Cricetulus griseus: one gene and its partner. The protein of the gene in region 2 purifies or fractionates together with the protein of the main gene of each other region. This does not show direct contact. Links are inferred from orthologs where the notes say so. Each region holds a gene or a part of one and is shown on either strand. Other genes may lie near its edges.

Region 1 (8,223 bases), on a different chromosome or scaffold from region 2:
TCCTACTGTGGGCCCTTTGTCGATGTTCTCTCTGAAGCTCTTTATGATCAGGGTTTCGGTTTGAAGGTTACTTCTCTGTGAGGGCCTTCCCTGACCTCTAAGGCTGTAATTCAGAGAAGCAGTCCATAAACCCAGCCTTTTGGAACGCATATGCCAGGTAGTTTTCTAGCTCAGGACTATCTCCTGACACATACAATGCCCCTGAAAATACTCACTCATCCCCCAGTATTCCCAAAGCACCAAAGAAACCAGAAACAAAGGCCCGCTCAAACACTTCTGAATGGCTAAATGAGTGAGTGAATGACTCCTTGGCAAGCTGCCAAGTGTGTGACCATGAACAAAACATTTAAATCCTCTGGACTCTAATTTCCTAATCCAGAAAAATGAGGGGGCTGAATTGCTCCAGCTCTAAGTGTCTACAGCCTTTTCTAAACCAGAGCAATATTTTACGATCTTTACTCATTGCTCAGCCTTCTCTCAACTAGTTATTTCAAGAATCTCACTTCAACAAAGCATCATTTTCCCTAAATCATATGCATGCCCTTCACAACAGCAACAGCACAGTAAATGCCAGAGGCTCTGGATGGACATAGTAAAGAACTGCCTGGACAATGTGAGGGACAGGAAAGGGCGGATCTCCATATTTTTCCCATTTGCCTGTTTCTTATTTTTGAAAGCACTCACCTCTGCAGAGTACCTTTTAACACTGCAGTAGCGAACGCACCTGATTTTCATTGCTAACAGGTATTGTTTAATTAGTTTATGTAGGTCTTTCCCATAAATCAACTGCAAGTTCCTGAAGCTCACAAAGGTGTGCCGAGCCAGTGGATGAGTGGTTTTCAACTTCAGCTGCACACAAGATCCCAAGAGGAGCTTTTACAAATCCCGGGAGCCAGGTCATGCTTGAGTCTAATAACTCAGTCTCTAGTCCTGATCCCAGACATGGGTGTTTGTGAAGAACCTCAGGTTATTCCAGTGGGCACCCATGCTGCAATGCTAGCCCTAAGGAAACTTGGAATATGCAAGCACCCAGGTGCTCTCAGAGGAAGCAGGACAACCAGTCCTCATTCTGGGACTATTAGCATTGTCAGTTTTAGTCCTCATCCCAGTGTTGTTAACACTGTCAGTCTGGACAAGACCTGAGTTCTCATCTATCAAAAGAGAGACTGCAGACAGTAAGGAGTAGCTGGACTAACAGTAGAGCACAGGGGCCATTCTCTGCCCTCAAGGAACTCATATTTACTTAGCCACACAAGGCCATTCTGTGCCATCAAGGAACTCGTGTTTACTAGCCACACAGATGCCAGCAGTAATGGTCCAGACACATGTGGTAAATGCAGAATCCGGGGAATGAACCCAATGTTTAGAAAACACAATGGACAGCCAAATATCCCAGAGAGCCATGGCTCCCCAGAAGGGTACAGCTTTGCTGAGCTGAGCTAAACTGATGATAAAGCAATCCCAGGGTGAGCAGGGTGGGAAGATGGCCAGGATACTCAGAGGCAGACAGCAGAAAGGAATAATAAAATTGCAGAGGCAAGTTGAAAAAGCATAATCCAGTCATTGTTGCCCCTACCACAGGCCACAGCAATCTGCAGGGTATTCATGGCGATTTGCTTACCTCACCCCCACCCCTAAATATTGGCATGACCCTGAATCAGACTCGAAAGAGTCATTTCCCTTTCTCGGGCACATGTACACTCAAGCTTTCACCTCCTTCTACCTACCACCACACCTGTCGCTGCCACTGGTGCTCCAACTTGGGTTCAAGCAAACATCAGTCAGTAGTCAGAAGAGGTTGGGTCTCTGCCAGGCAAAGGGTAGGGGTTTCTATTCTCTTGGAATTTTAAAGAAATCCCCACAACTTTTGGTATAATACCGATTTGAGTTTGAATGGAAACTGCACAACTTATTACACATGTGAGCCTGGACAGGCAATTTGGACCCTGTAAACCTCAGGATCTTCATCTGGAAAACAAGGATAGCGCAGATGGGACTTCAGAGTTATCACAAGAGCTACAGAGAACAGGTCAGGCTCTGGCTTCAGTCTTGGTAACTACAAGCTCATGCTGTCAGTAAATGCTACAGAAAGAGAAGAAAAACACTCCAATTTTGCCATCCTTTTGGCACTGTCTACCTGGAGATGAGCCCCTACCCCAACCCCAGGTACAAGGCAGCATGAAGTCTGCTAGGGGCTTCTAAACAGACTTCACTCCCGCTATCTGGGGGATGGGAGAAATGCAAAGGGACCCCACCCATTAATGCTGAAAGACTTCACAACAGAGGCTGGTTTGAAAGCACTGTTTTGGAACCTAGAGGTCAGCAGGCTTCCTGAATTTGCAGACTCCATTTCTGAGGAGCTCCCACAGTTACATTCTTGCCTGGTTACATTTTCTGGTTGCCAGCTACATGGCAGATGCCTTGGGGTTAGAGCGAAGCAGTGATGCCTTCCCTCAAATGGCCACTGGGTGGGTTTAATAAGACATAGAGAAGCAGACTAGGACACATGCTTTTCTCTTTCTGCCAAATACCCAAAAGTGAATTCAGACCAAAGCACCACCCTAAAGTCATGTATGTATGCATGTGTGTGTGTGCATGCGTGCCAAAGGTTAACACTAATGCTATCCCTCAGTTATTTGTCCACTTTCCATCTTACTTTTTGAGAGATTCTTCTCCTGATGCTGGAACTCACCAATTTGGACAGACTGACTGGCCAGCAAACCCTAGGGATTACAGGCGTGCACCATTCAACCCAGCTTGTTTACATGGGTGCTGGGGACCTGAACTAGGGTCCTCACACTTATGCTGTGAGTGCCTTACTAACTGAATGACCTCCCCAGACCTACAGTGAATCTTGAGGATGATGATACTCTTCCAAAGTTAAGCACTGGTAATTCTTTAACATTCACAGAAAGCTTCAAATTCTGCAAAGGTTCACAGCCTCAGAGGACGCCAAAGGCAGTCTCGACTTAAACCTGGGTCTTCTAACAGCAAATTCCTTGCTCTCTCGAGGTACATAGACTGTCTGGGACCAGGAGAAGCCGAGGATACTCACCATGCGACTCCGCTCATCTTCAAGATTCCTGAGAACAGTGGCAAATTCTTGCAAAGATCTCGCTGGAAGAAAGAAAGAAGCCATGAACTGAAAGCATTATGACAGGTATGCAAAAGCAACTTACAGATTTAAATTCCTTATGCACACAGATGCCCAAAGTCAACTGCTGTCTGCAGATTCCCTCGTCTTTTAATCATTAACCACTGAAGACAGGATGACCCAGAAAGGCAGGTTAATTGCTCCTGGAAGACCAGCTAGAGGATTTCTCCAAGAAAAAGACCCGCCTATTCCTGAGCATTCCCAGGACTGCTGAGGGCTGGCAGGCTCCCAGCCCTGGGACTGAAAGGGGCAGAGTTCCACTAAGGAGCCGAAGGATTTCCTGTCCAGGATTCAACCTCTTCAATCTTTGTTGCTGAGCTGCATCAGAATCCAACCTTTTCTTTGGCATGACAACTATACAAACAGTTCTGCGGGCAACAGAAGCCACATCTCTGGCATCTCCTTAGGCTCCTTCTCCCGGAGTTCTGAAGCCACTCATTAGTAGAATGCAGCCTGAAGCACAGCCATCAAACACAGATGGTCTCTGCTGGAATCTTTCATGAAGGCACCAGACACTTGGTGAAGTAGCCCCAGGACTTTAGGATACTTGGGCAATGCTGGAAAAGCATCATGGCTTACAACAAGGACACATTTTCATTGTTCTCACCTACATCCCAGATGTCTTTGCTCATACCCAAATCCTGGTGTTCTGTTTGGCAACAGACTCAAAAATCATCCCAACAACTTTAACTTTCTCGATTCTTTATTTCTTTGGTATTGGGAATTGAACCCAGATACTCACATACACCAAGTATGTGTTCTACCATCAGGCTAGAATCCTAGTCCCAACTCTTCTTAGTTCTCCCTCCCTTTAGAGCATCAACCAAGATGCCCAATATAAGAAAAAAGAAAAGAATATGAGACCCTAGCAAAGTGATGAGTCTTGGCTGCACCATTGCTCTGTGCTCAGAGCAGCCTATGGAAGAGAGCAGTAAAGAGGGAAGCAGTTCAGCATGGTAATATTCAGGAGCTCACCTCCACCTCTCAGTAAGGAAACTACAGAAGAAAGAGGTGGGGACACAGGGAGATAGCCACTGAGCTCTGCTCCCACACAGCAGGGAGTGACAGTTACATGGCTCCAGCCAGCTGTTACCAGGCCAAAATGGAAGGCTGCTAGATCAAACTTGTAAAATTTTAAAAGAAAAAGAAAAACAAGTTGAGATAAATTCAACTTACATGGTAATTCAGTTTAAAATAAAAAATCAACTAAAACATTATGCTTTCTCATCTCAGTCCATTAGCTAACACTGCAACCTTGATCCAACTCTCTTTATCATCTGCATTCATTCTTGTCTTAGGTTCTTAGTACTGTGGTTGGGTAAGGGGAAAAAAGGAATGGATAAGAGCACCATCACAGAACTCCCAGCTTCCTCCTGCATCCTCCAGTTTCCTGGACAGAGAGTGAGGTCAAGGCAAGGGGAGGCCCCATCCTGGCCTTCCTATCTGTGCCTTCCAGTACCCACTGGATTTCTACCTTTACTATTAGGCCTCCTTGCCCAGGAGAAGGCTTTCTGGGATGAACAGCAAATGTTCCCATCTCCCATGAGGTTATGACTCACCTATACACATCTCATCATCTGTTTCTGCATCTCCTATACACTGAAATTTAAATTCATTTAAGGAATCTGCAAACTTCCGCTTTGCTGAAGACAAATCTAACAAGAAAAAGAGAAAAAGACAAATTATTGAAATTAAATTGGCCTTCATAGTTGCTGCCCTTTTTAAGTCCTTCTGTGTATACTTAGCAAGGTTTGTTGCTGAGATCATTTCACGGAAGAGAAGTTAACTCAAAATGGTAAATACCTTTTTATGTAACAACACATTATATAAAGTATTGACTTGCTCTAGTTAACATTTTTATTGTAACTGCTTTAACAATTCGAATCCTATGGGATAAAGATATAATCCAGTGGTAAAGTGCTAGCCTGGCACTCCAAGGCCCTGGGTTTGATTCCCAGCACCACAATGGAGGTGTGTATATATACATACAAACAATATTTTTAATCATATGTTTGCTTCCTCAAAACACATTGAGACCTATCATCGCCATTTGACACATGGGAATCTCGCCACTTAAGGAGAACAAGGAGGAAGCCTGGATCAGAAACAACATCAGTCCCCGGAGCCTACAGGTACATGCTATGCTGCCACCTTCCATGTGGTCAGTACAGCTTCCCCCATGTGTGGCTCTAACACATTTTGTAGCTCAAAAGGAAAAGCAGGAAGAGCCTGTGTTGCTGCCTCCAGGTATAAGCACACCTAGCTTCCTCTTCCAACTAAAGACAGACAAGGGCCAAGTTCTCAGACCCTCTCTGACCCATTCTCATTAGTCAACAGCTTGACAAATTTCCATTAGAGGCATTTTCCACAGTCACCAGAGGAATGAAGCCCTGGCAATGTTTTGTATTGGGATTTCCTTAAGAAGCCAACCCCACACATGGTATCTATCATGAAAACTCTCTGGGGCCCTTGTCAAATTTAAAATCTAAACTTTCTTTTAAGACAGTAATAAAAGCCAATGATCCTTCCTGAGCCCTCAGCTTCTGTTCAGGGCATAAAATCACCAAGGTACTGTTAAGTGGCCTGACAGACAAGGCTGCTCAGTACGACTTGCTTAACTTAATTCCACATGCAGCCTTCCTGCAGATTAGGCTAATCATTCAAATTACCATCTATCCAGGCTTCCCTCATTGAAGAGGAAATGGCATTAAGTTTAAACTCCCAGTGGAGGGTAATAGGAGGCATAACTGGTAACAAGGCCTGGATTTAATAAGATGGGAAGTTCTGGCTTCCAGGATCAATGTGACCCCTAAATAGAAGCATCCCTTCCATCAGCTGAAGGTCATTTAGGTTGTTTCCATTCCCTAGCTATTGTGAATAATATTGAGTTCTTCCATATATGTCCAAGGAGTATTATAGTTGGGTCATATGGTAGACTTATTTTTTAGCTTTTTTGAGCTTGGGGTGTTTGTGTGTGTGTGTGAGAGTGTGTGTGTGTGTGTGTGTGTGTGTGTGTGTGTGAGAGAGAGAGAGAGAGAGAGAGAGAGAGAGAGAGAGAGAGAGAGAGAGAGATAACTAAAGAAAAAGAGGCCATGAATTTGAGAGAAAACAAGGGAGACACACAGGAGGGATTTGAAGGGCAGGAGTAGAGGAAAAATGAGGCAATTATATGGCAATTTCAAAACAATTTTTAAAAGTATTCAGTTCTTCCTTCTTTAGCTCCCATTTTCTCCTTTAAGTTAAAGGTGATGATTATCAGTGTTTGATTGTTTTGGTTTGCCTCTTCTCCTGGTATGTACAGTGCAATCTGCTTGGAGTTTGTTGAACAAATGACAAAGAGGCATAATTTACAAATCTAGCCCCTAGTGTCCCTTCCAAGCCAGAGCTGTTAGTATAGGCTCTGGGTTGGGGCTGAGGGCAGGGGTGGGGGATGCTACTGTCATCAGTCTGGAGCTCACACTACTGACTAGATGTTAAACCAGGACCCAGAGGGCATGGATCCTAGGCAAGCCAATCTGTTCTACAACACAATAGGAGGCACTCAGGGTGGAAAAGAACACAGGATCCAATTTCCAACCCCTCCCTGGTACAGATGCTTTCATGGAAGAGTCCTTAATAAACCGTCCAAATAAGACAGCAGGGAACTAGGCTTCTCTTAGAAGAAGAGGGAATCCTTCAGAACACAGTTCATCCTGGCAAGCCTGAAATTCAGAACACTGTGGGGAGGAAGGAAACTTGAGACTCCTGACAGGCCAGAGAGGAAAAAGAAAGGGTGTCATTTCAAAGTGGAAGAGAAGGACCCCAGAAGCCCTAAAGCACAAGCACAATAAATGTGAGTGTGGCTGAACGTAGTCACATTTTAGTTCAAAGGTACCCTTGATGAGAACTCAAAAAATGAGGCCTGAGCAAACAGTGTGAGCAGGATCACTTCACCGCTGGCTTGGCAGTCCTCTGCCTCTCCAACAGCACAATCACCTCCACAAAGGAGAAACAAGTGAAATGCAAACTGAGTTGGGACAAGTTTCCAGGGTGCTCCTAAAAGTGTGGGTGGCCAGCAGCTGCCAATAAGGATGAAGGACCAGCTCATGACGAACAGGGCCTCTGGGGGCCCTTCTAAAAGTGCTGCCTTGCCAGGTCACAGGCAGAAAGAAACCTGATTTCACTGCCTGGTGGCCCACAGCAGATGGAGAGGCTAGATCTGGGCCTGGTGGAAGATGAGGTAATGAGCTGTGATGGAGTCAATACAAGGCTCCGGGCCAGGGAGGACAGCTGAATGGAATGAGTATTTCAGAGCCTGTGACCTGGAAGGGAGCTCACCTTGGACCTAGTAGAGAAGTCTTTCAGGGAAACAACAGTAGGCACCTATTTTTTCGCTTGCTCAGCATCTGTGTTTGGCTGAGGCACAGTATCTCCAGCTTCCTTAAGGGAACTACCCCTCTCCACTTGCATCCTATGAGACTCTGGTTATACAATGATCAATCCCAAACTCTTGCTTCCACTCCACCAGCTTTGGATCCTGGGTTCAAGTTACAACTTGTGTATTAGCTATGCCCCCAGATGAGTTAAAAAGGGCCAATCATTGGATAGAGCCTGGGGGTTGCCCCACAAGTGCAGGAGATCTACTATATAAACACTTTGCATAATTGTGACTCATCAGTCCTCTGGACTGAGGTCCCTGAAATATGTGGGGACTCAATACTGCACCCCTGCAGTTGAGATAGTCCCTCTGTGGTATTTGGGACGATGGTGAAGACATAAAGTAAGGATACTCAAAAATCACTGCTTCTTGCCTATTTCAACACAAAAGTATTGCTGATATCTTGATGTAAATCATCACTCTGGGAATACAACTCTCAAAAGGCATATTGCTGGAGCTTTCACTACTATGTGAACAAGACCCAACCATGCACATTCCAGTAAGGACTAAAGGGCTGGTGCTAGGGCTGGGTGTGTGCCATGCATCATGGTCCCAGCTCATATAACCTCACTGTTTCATGTTCAGGCAGCATAAGACACAGCAAGGAGCCAAACAGAGTCAGTAATGTTTACTTTGCATAACTTCTATTGCA
Region 2 (8,338 bases):
CTCACCAGCTTGATAGGTAATGTCTGCCCTGAAAGACCTAAAATAGCTGCACTAGTGGGGAGAAGTACATCTGGGAAGATGTCTCCAATATTGTAAAGGTAAGTCAGCTGTGAAGTTGTGTGCTGGGTGGTGGGCTTGCAGTCTGCCTGAGTATTTGAGCAAAGTTCCAGCAGACTGGGCATTACTCTTGCAGATGCCTTAATGGGACCTTGACTCCTTTTCTCTCCATGTGAGGCACCTGACCATGTCATTCAGTTTCCTGGTGCTGAAGTAGTATATAGGAGGCGCTGGGGGGTTTGCATCCTTGCAGGGTTTTGCCAGGCTTGTGCAAAATCCAGCATTTGACTACTCCCTGCATAAAAAACACCAAGATAGAAGCCTTTAGCCACCTGTAAACTACTTCAGGGGATCCAGTCAATGCCATGGAGTGGGGATTGGAGTCTGCAGTCACATGTGCAAATACTTTCCAAGACGATTGCTGTGTGGCCTTGACTACCCTGGGACTCTGTAGACTAGGTTATCGTTGAGCTCAGACACCCACCTGTTTCTGCCTCCAAATGTGTGACACCACTGACCAGTGCATAAATTCTTTTTTATTCATTTTGAGACAGGGTTTCTCTGTGTGGTTTTGACTGTACTGGAACTTGCTCTGTAGACCAGGCTAGCCCCAAACTCAGAGATCTGCCTGCCCTGCCTCTAGAGTACTAGGATTACAGGTGTGAGTCACCACTGCCTGACTTTTATTCACTTAAAAAAAAATTGTAATACAGGAGCCTTTAACCCCAGTACTGGGCTGGCAGAGGCAGGCAGATCTCTTAAGTTTGAGGACAGTTTGGTAATAGAGTTCCAAGACAGCCAGGTCTGGGGATGGTAATACATGCCTGTAATTAGCACTGAGAGAACAAAGCTAATCAGAAATGCATAGTAAAACACCATCTCCAGCACTCGGGAGGCAGAGGCGGGCGGATCTCTGAGTTCAAGACCAGCCTGGCCTACAAGAGCTAGTTCCAGGAGAGCCTCCAAAGCCACACAGAAACCCTGTCTGGAAAAACCCAAAAAAATGTGCATGCATGCGAGTCAAAGGACTTTGTGTGAGTTGGTTCTCTACATCATCAGTGTTAAGGGATTTTGTTACTGGCAGCAAAACCCTTTTACACAGGGAGCCACTGGTCTAAAGGAGAGTTCTGAATCAATTTATTTGCTTACTTCTCCATTTTTATTCATTTTATTTATTTTTATTTATTCATTTTATTTATTTTTGGCTCAAAAAAGCCACCTGAGTGTTGGAATTACAGGCATGTGAGGACACACCCTCTCAACCAGTGAACTGTAACACTGGGCAGCTCGGAGAGAAATTTACTAGTCTGATTCGTGTTTTTTTGTTTTTGTTTGTTTGTTTTTCGTAAACTGAAGTCCTTTTACTTGTAACCAGAGGTTCTTTTAAATGGAAGATGAAACCCTGCAAGGTACCATTTAATCCCAGGGTTGTTTGTTAAGACCTTGGCTCAGCTGGGCGGTGGCGCACACCTTTAGTCCCAAGCAGAAGCAGGCAGATCTCTGTGAGTGTGAGGCCAGCATGGTCTATACAGAGTGAGTTCGAGGACAGACTCCAAGGCTACGGAGAAACCCTGCCTCAAAAAAAAAAAAAAAAAGAAAAAGAAAAAGAATTGGGGGCTGCAGAAGAAATGGGTCAGTGCTTTACATCACTTGCTCCTGAAAAGGACTAAGGGTTTCATTCCCAGCACCCCATGGGGGTTCATGACTCCAGTTCCAGGAGATCTGATGACTCTGACCTCCAAAGATACCAGACATCCAAATGGTGCACATAAAGAAATACTAGAGCTGTGTGGTGGTGACACAGTCCTTTAATCCTAGCACTCAGGAGGCAGAGGCAGACCCAGTCAGATCTCTATGAGTTCAAGACCAGCCTGGTCTACAGAGAGTAACCTTGTCTCAAAAAACAAAAAGAAAGTAGTCCCCTATCTGGGTATTGTGGCACGCTTTTTTTTTTTTTTTTTTTTTGGTTTTGTTTTTTTTTTTTTTTTCAAGACTGGGTTTCCCTGTGTATCACTGGCTGTCCTGGAACTCACTTTGTAGACCAGGTTGTCCTCGAACTCACAAAGATCTTCCTGCCTCTGCCTTTCAAGTGCTAGGATTGAAGGCCTGGATATAGTATGTTTGGACAACGCCAACCAGTTCAATCTGGCCCTCTCCACCAGGCACACAGGGTCTTAACCGCTCTCTGACCCCCATCCCATCTCTTGGGCAAGCACTCAACTCGCTGTGCTCCGGGCAAAACCCACTCATCTGAGAAGTCTCCTACCCTCACTTTTTAAAAAAATATGCAGATTCGGGAAATTGATTGAATCCTTGAGCTTGCCTTGCAGCACTTTATTGAACTCCCTCCCCAGACCCTACGGACTTAAACTATGGTAAAGGTAAAGTCAGAACATCGGCTCCGGCTGAGTCAGCAAACTCTTCGCAACGAGCCAGAGGTGGTTCATATCTTATTTGTATCTGGCCATAATTTGGATCAAGGTTTAATCCGCACCGGGCTCAAGCCCCCGTTGCACGCTGCGGGCAAAGCTCGTGCAGAAATGGTGCCCGGCCTTCCATCTCTAGGAAGATCAGCTCTGGTGCAGAGCGTGAGCGATTAAATCAGGAAGGGGACACGAGATCCGCGGAGCTCAACTCGTTTATAGGGTCCTGGGCGCTGCTCTCGCACGGCCGGGAGGGGGCGCTGCTCCCCACACCTGCCGGGCGCGCGGGTCTCGGGAGGGGGCGCCCGATCCCGCGTGTACCGCGCCGCTTCCCGGGAAGTTTCAAGTTTGAAAGTCCGGCGCAGAGGCCCGGGCTTCCGGAACCGTAGTGAAGGAGAGGACTGGCCGGCGCAACGCCATGGAGCAGAATGGGGCGGCGCTCCAGGTGAACCGAGCGCGCGCAGCGGCCGCGTTTGCAGCTCAGGGCGCCCCACGCTCGGGTCCACCCCACTCCGGTCTCTGATGACCTCTGCGCGGGCCAGGATCTGTGCCCTGGGATAAGACGCTCTGGTCCCCAGAGTGACGGAGATCCAGCTCGGCAGCATGCCTGAAACTGGAATGTGCCTTGAGGCTGAGTCTCAAGTTCTTTAAAAATCAGTTTTCTGGAGACTTGCAGACGGGTGGGAATTTGGCAGAGGTTGGGGTGCCGGCCCTCCTAGAGGAATCTTGGGGGAGAAGCTGCGAGCGTTGGGGAGGGTGGGACTGGGCTCTTGGTGGGCGTTCTCTCCAACACACCACACCCACAAGCAAGACCACTTTCTCGCCACCAGAGGCACCTGGCCTAGCAATGTGCAGGGAACCCTTGGGTCCACAGAGGGGCCCACAATGTGGAGGGGCTCCGGTTAGATGTGTCCCTTAAGAAGGGAGAGAGTGTCCTACCTCAGGGTAGTTAGAGATGGGGCGGGACATCCAGTGCCAAGTCAAAACATGAGGTATGGGTGAGGTATGGTAGACACGGGTACATAAACGGCTCAGGCAGCCTGCACGCCTCCCAGTACTCTTCTTCCAGAGATCCCTCTTGGCCTTTCTAGCAGTGACTTGTACACATTTTCCGATTTCCTGTGAGCCGCCGCCCTGCGGCAGCAGCAGCAGCGTGGTGACTCAGGACCCTGGTGGCCAGCAGGCCCCCAGCTCTGGGACAGCTTTGTTTGCTCAGGCCTTTGGCTCTGGCCTTCTTGCCTGGGGCGGTCAAAGGATTTCCTGAGCCTCGCCCTGGCCCTGCCCTCTGAGAGCTAAGGCAGTTTAGCCGAGGCCTGGAGTTGGGGGGTTGGGAGCCCCTAAACTGAGTAGCTATTCTTTTATGGGGCTAAGGAGATGGAACACAGAGAGGTAAGAGGAATAAAATAGGGTGGCTGCCATGAGGGGGGTCAGCAGGGGCTTCCCTCTCAGCCTCTGAGAGGTTGTCTCCCCCTGCCTCTAACCTGGTGAACGGTTGAGGGGCTCTTTTCCTTCCTGCCGGCTCTGAGCAGTCCAGACCTCCTCAGCTCCCTCTAGCACCTCTGCTTCACCACCTGTCTGCCACACTGTCTAAGGCAGAAGAAACAAGTTTTGGTGTCTTGGGCCACTGGCTGCCTCCTGCATGTGACCTTGAGTAAATTCCTTGCCTGTAGTTTCCTCCCAGATTGCATTTGGTTCTCAGACCTAGAGAAAGCAGCATGGCTGGCTAGGAGAGAATGGGGTCACTGTCCCTCAATAAACAGTGGTCACTCCTCTGTGTTGCCTCTGTGAACAAGCCACTTAACCTCTCTTTGTTCTTTGCTCCTGTCTAAAATGGGAATGAGAACTAGCATGTTGATTTGTGGCAGAGCTCTTGTTTAGCATGTTCCAAGCCCTGGGTTCTTTCTCCACTATCAAATAAGAGGCAAAAGGAGTTCAACTTGTTAGAGCTCTTTGGTCTAGAATTCAGGACCCAGAAAGCATCATGGTAACCTGATCCATTATCTTTCTCTTCTCTCTGAAAGAAAGACAAGAGCTAGACACTATAGAGTTCTAAGACACCCCAGTGCTCTGTCCGTTGTGTTTGTTCCCCCTTGGAAGGGGGTGGGTTATGACTTCTCTGCCCTTTGCAGCCTGGGACTGGCCAGAGGCCTCCTGAGGATGAGGAAGAGATGATCCGTCGAGCTATCCAGAAGGAATTGAAGATCAAGGAGGGCATGGAGAACATGCGGCGTGTGGCCACAGACCGACGCCATTTGGGCCATGTGCAGCAGCTGCTGAGGGCCTCCAACCGCCGCCTGGAGCAGCTGCATGGCGAGCTGCGGGAGCTGCATGCCCGAGTTCTGCTGCCAACCTCAGCTGGTGAGTGAGGATCCTGAAGAAACCCCAGGGAATGGGAGAGTCACGGGCACCCTGATCCTTGCCTTGGCTCAGACCACTGGGCAAGACCACCTGACCTCCCTATATCGTACATGTTGCTGATTGGTCAGGAAAGAAGGGAAGAGAGAGCCCTTTACAGAGGTCTGCACTTTGGTGGCAGGATCGTGCATCCCCTACCTTCTCTCTGCAGAGCCAGTGGCCTCAGGACCCCGGCCGCGGGCAGAGCAGTCAAGGGCTCGGCACTTGGAGGTTTTACAGAGGCAGCTGCAGGTGGAGCTGAAGGTAAAGCAGGGAGCTGAGAACATGATTCACACGTGTGCCAGGGGCACCCACAAGGTAAGTGCTGGGGTCTGCCTGGAGGCAGAGGCTGCCTTCTGATCTGATGGGACAGATCTAGCTCTCAGGTGTTAGGAGGGCAGTGCCAGGTCCCGTGCCAATGGGGAAATGGTACCCAACCCCAGCCCTTTGTCTAATGGTGGAAGTACAGCCCTAAATCCTAGTTGGGTGAGTGAAGCAAAATTCATTCCCATCCACTTTATCGTAAAGGCCCAACAGCAGTCTAGCAGAATATCCACCCAACTGCCGGGCTCAACTCTCAGCATTCTACCCTCCATGCTCCATCTGACAGGGTGTTGTAACACTTAGCTTGTCAACCTGATGGGAGTCAGGCTCCACTCACCCTGCAGCCCCTACCCCATTACCTACCCATTACCTCCCATCAACAGGGAGACTAGTCTGTAGCAGCTTCCTTGTGGGAGGTTCCACCTTGGTATAGCAGGGGGAGCTCAACTCCAGCCCCTGGTGGTCAGCCTTAGCCCTGATCTGATGGGCAAGTGTCACATCCCTGTAGGAAAGGAAGCTCCTGGCAGCTGCCCAGCAGATGTTGAAGGATAGTCAACTGAAGGTAACCCTGCTCCGAATGAAGATAAGCAGCCTGGAGACCAGCGGATCTCCAGAGCCAGGTGAGGCCTCTCAAGGCAGGGAGGGTGGCACCCAGTGGCCAGGGCTGAGGGTTCACCTCCTTCCTGCAGGCCCTGACTTGCTAGCGGAGGAGCTACAGCACCGACTGCGAATCGAGGCTGCTGTGGCTGCAGGAGCCAAGAATGTGGTGAAGCTACTTGGTGGCCAGAAAATGCAGGACCGCAAGGCGCTGGCTGAGGTCAGGCTGTGTCCCCTGGCCTACTGCTCTTCCTATAGCTCTGCTTCTCTCTGTCTGCCGTGCAGCGCTGCCTGGCACCAAGGGCTTGCTGCCTGTGTTGGGTGTCGGTGGAGAAGCATAAGGCATAATTTGTCCCCTTCACACCACACCTCATGTCTGTCTCTGCCTGTGTCTCCATTGTAGGCCCAGGCCCAGCTCCAGGAATCCTCCCAGAAGCTAGACCTCCTACAGCTGGCCCTGGATTTGTTGCTGGAGAGGCTGCCACCCACCCATTCGCTGCGCAGCAGGGTGACCCGAGAGCTGCGGATGGCCATGCTCGGGAACCCCCAGCCTTCAAGGACACTTGTGAAACCCATTGCTCTGACAGGTAGGTAGAAAGGAGGGCCCTTACCTCTTGGAGAGGACCCTGGGTCCTGGAGCACTTTGGGAAAGAGTTCAGCGCTGCTGTGTGACCTTGGGTCTGTCTGATAGTCCCATTCTGGTTCTCAGTTTATCCACTTGTAGCAGAGATGGTAGTCACAGCCTGGTAGACCAGGCTGGCTTTGAACCCAGAGTTAACTCCAGAACTCAGGAGGCAGGAAAAAGCAGGTGGATCTCTTTGAGTTCCAGGCCAGCCACAGCTACATAGTGAGACCCAGACTCAAAGTAAAACAAACAAAGAATAAAAATACTGATAGCACTGACTCATAGATTGCCTTGTAAGTCCAATTAACTTGTTATCCTTCAGCACTGAGCACAGTCAGCGTTTGGCCAATATGATGTAATTTAAACAAGTGACTGAAAGTAGGGAGTAGTGGTAGTCAGCGCACTCCCGTGCCAGCCTTGGAGCCAGGCCAGGGCAGCCTGGCTACCACAAAGTTCTTTCTTTTTTTCTGGGTTTTTCTTGTTTTGTTTTGTTTTTTCCAGACAGGGTTTCTCTGTGTAGCCTTGGCTGTCCTAGAACTCACTCTGTAGACCAGGCTGGCTTTGAACCCAGAGATCTGCCTGCCTCTGCCTTCCAAGTGCTGGGATTAAGGGTGTGTGCCGTTGCCTGGCCAGAAAGCTCTCTCATAGCCTGAGCTGAGGTCTGTCTCCTTGTAGCAGTAGCTGACTGACTCACCAAATCATCTGAGCTGCAAGGCATAGCCTAGCTGGTGCCTGCTGCAGGGAACAGTGCATGGGGGTGGCTAGACATCTATCTGTGTGGGCCCTGGTCTTGGGTCATCAGGGTTCCTTAGAGGAGGTGGAGTCTGAGCTTGGAGATCTCGTGGGAGTGCTTATGGTCAAGTCAGCAAGCTGAGGAAGACAGAGAAAACTGTTTGTTTAAAGGCAAAGAATTTGAGATAAGGATGTGGCAATGGTGGGAGGCAGTTGGTAGAGTTCTTCCCTAGTGTGCGGGAGGCCCTGGGTTCAGTCCCCAGCACCATATAAACTGGGTGTGGAGCACACACACCTATAACCCAAACCCTTGGGAAGTGAGGCAGGAGGACCAAGGGTTCAATGGCATCTTTAGCTACACAATGAGTTTGAGGCCAACTTGGGCTAATGAGATTCTATCTAAAAACAAAACCATACACCCCATATCCTAGTTCATGGTTGATCCTTCATCTCCTAAGATGAGTATCCTTCCTGGACACCACCCTTGGGATCTCTGTAAGCTTCCCAGGTATTACCTCCAGACCCAGCCTACCAAAGGTTTTCCCAGACTCATTCATGTCCCCAGGAGCTCCTGGGTTCCTGTTTTTGCTACCCTCTGAGACAAAACTCTCAGTGATCTCAGACAAAACATGTTTTGTTCCTATTCAGGACTCACCCTCAATGTTCAGATAGGAACAAATGGGGCAGGCAAACTTGGGCTGCTCGTGGCCCCAGGCTCCCGTGCCTGCCCCTGTGCACTTGAGGCCATGGTGCTCAGGGCAGCAGCTTACTCAATCCTGTGGTTCCACATGATTCCACACAGCTCCACAGGGGAGGTCCTGTCATTGCACAGGCACCCAGGAGGGAGAGCTGGGAGGGCTTCTGAAGATGAGGGGTGGCTACCAAGGCCTAATGTGGACAGGGTCAGTTGACCCCAACTCTAACCCTCCTAGAGCAAGTGGTATCCCTCTGGGGTCCCTTAGCCCATTGGTGGTGGTTTTTGACAAAGTGCCCTCCCGACTCCCAACCAGGGACACTGCAGGTCCGCCTCCTGGGCTGTGAACAACTGCTGACAGCTGTGCCTGGACGGTCTCCCATGGCTGTCCTGGCAGGTAGCCCCTCTGAAGGCTGGCTCCGAACCAGGTCCAGGCAGCAGCGTGGTGGTGGAGGAGAGCTGGCCAGTGCGTAAGGGGAGCTATGGAAGGTG

Evidence for each region.
Region 1: the proteins of Pkn3 (region 2) and Arhgap26 purify together in Homo sapiens (affinity purification with mass spectrometry; 3 studies listed by BioGRID and IntAct, with this or other methods). This does not show direct contact. The link is inferred for Cricetulus griseus from reciprocal best matches to the Homo sapiens genes PKN3 and ARHGAP26.

The regions. Positions count from the first base shown.
Region 1 is NC_048595.1:198,536,759-198,544,981, forward strand, and holds the start of Arhgap26 (rho GTPase-activating protein 26), read right to left. Parts: upstream 5,313-8,223; coding exon 5,291-5,312; intron 4,810-5,290; coding exon 4,714-4,809; intron 3,118-4,713; coding exon 3,056-3,117; intron 1-3,055. UniProt on the Homo sapiens protein: GTPase-activating protein for RHOA and CDC42. Facilitates mitochondrial quality control by promoting Parkin-mediated recruitment of autophagosomes to damaged mitochondria.
Region 2 is NC_048599.1:141,743,435-141,751,772, forward strand, and holds the start of Pkn3 (serine/threonine-protein kinase N3), read left to right. Parts: upstream 1-2,788; 5' UTR 2,789-2,898; coding exon 2,899-2,925; intron 2,926-2,989; exon of another isoform or gene 2,990-3,160; intron 3,161-3,278; exon of another isoform or gene 3,279-3,472; intron 3,473-3,535; exon of another isoform or gene 3,536-3,854; coding exon of another isoform or gene 3,855-3,869; intron 3,870-4,609; coding exon 4,610-4,838; intron 4,839-5,046; coding exon 5,047-5,192; intron 5,193-5,706; coding exon 5,707-6,015; intron 6,016-6,198; coding exon 6,199-6,382; intron 6,383-8,162; coding exon 8,163-8,312; intron 8,313-8,338.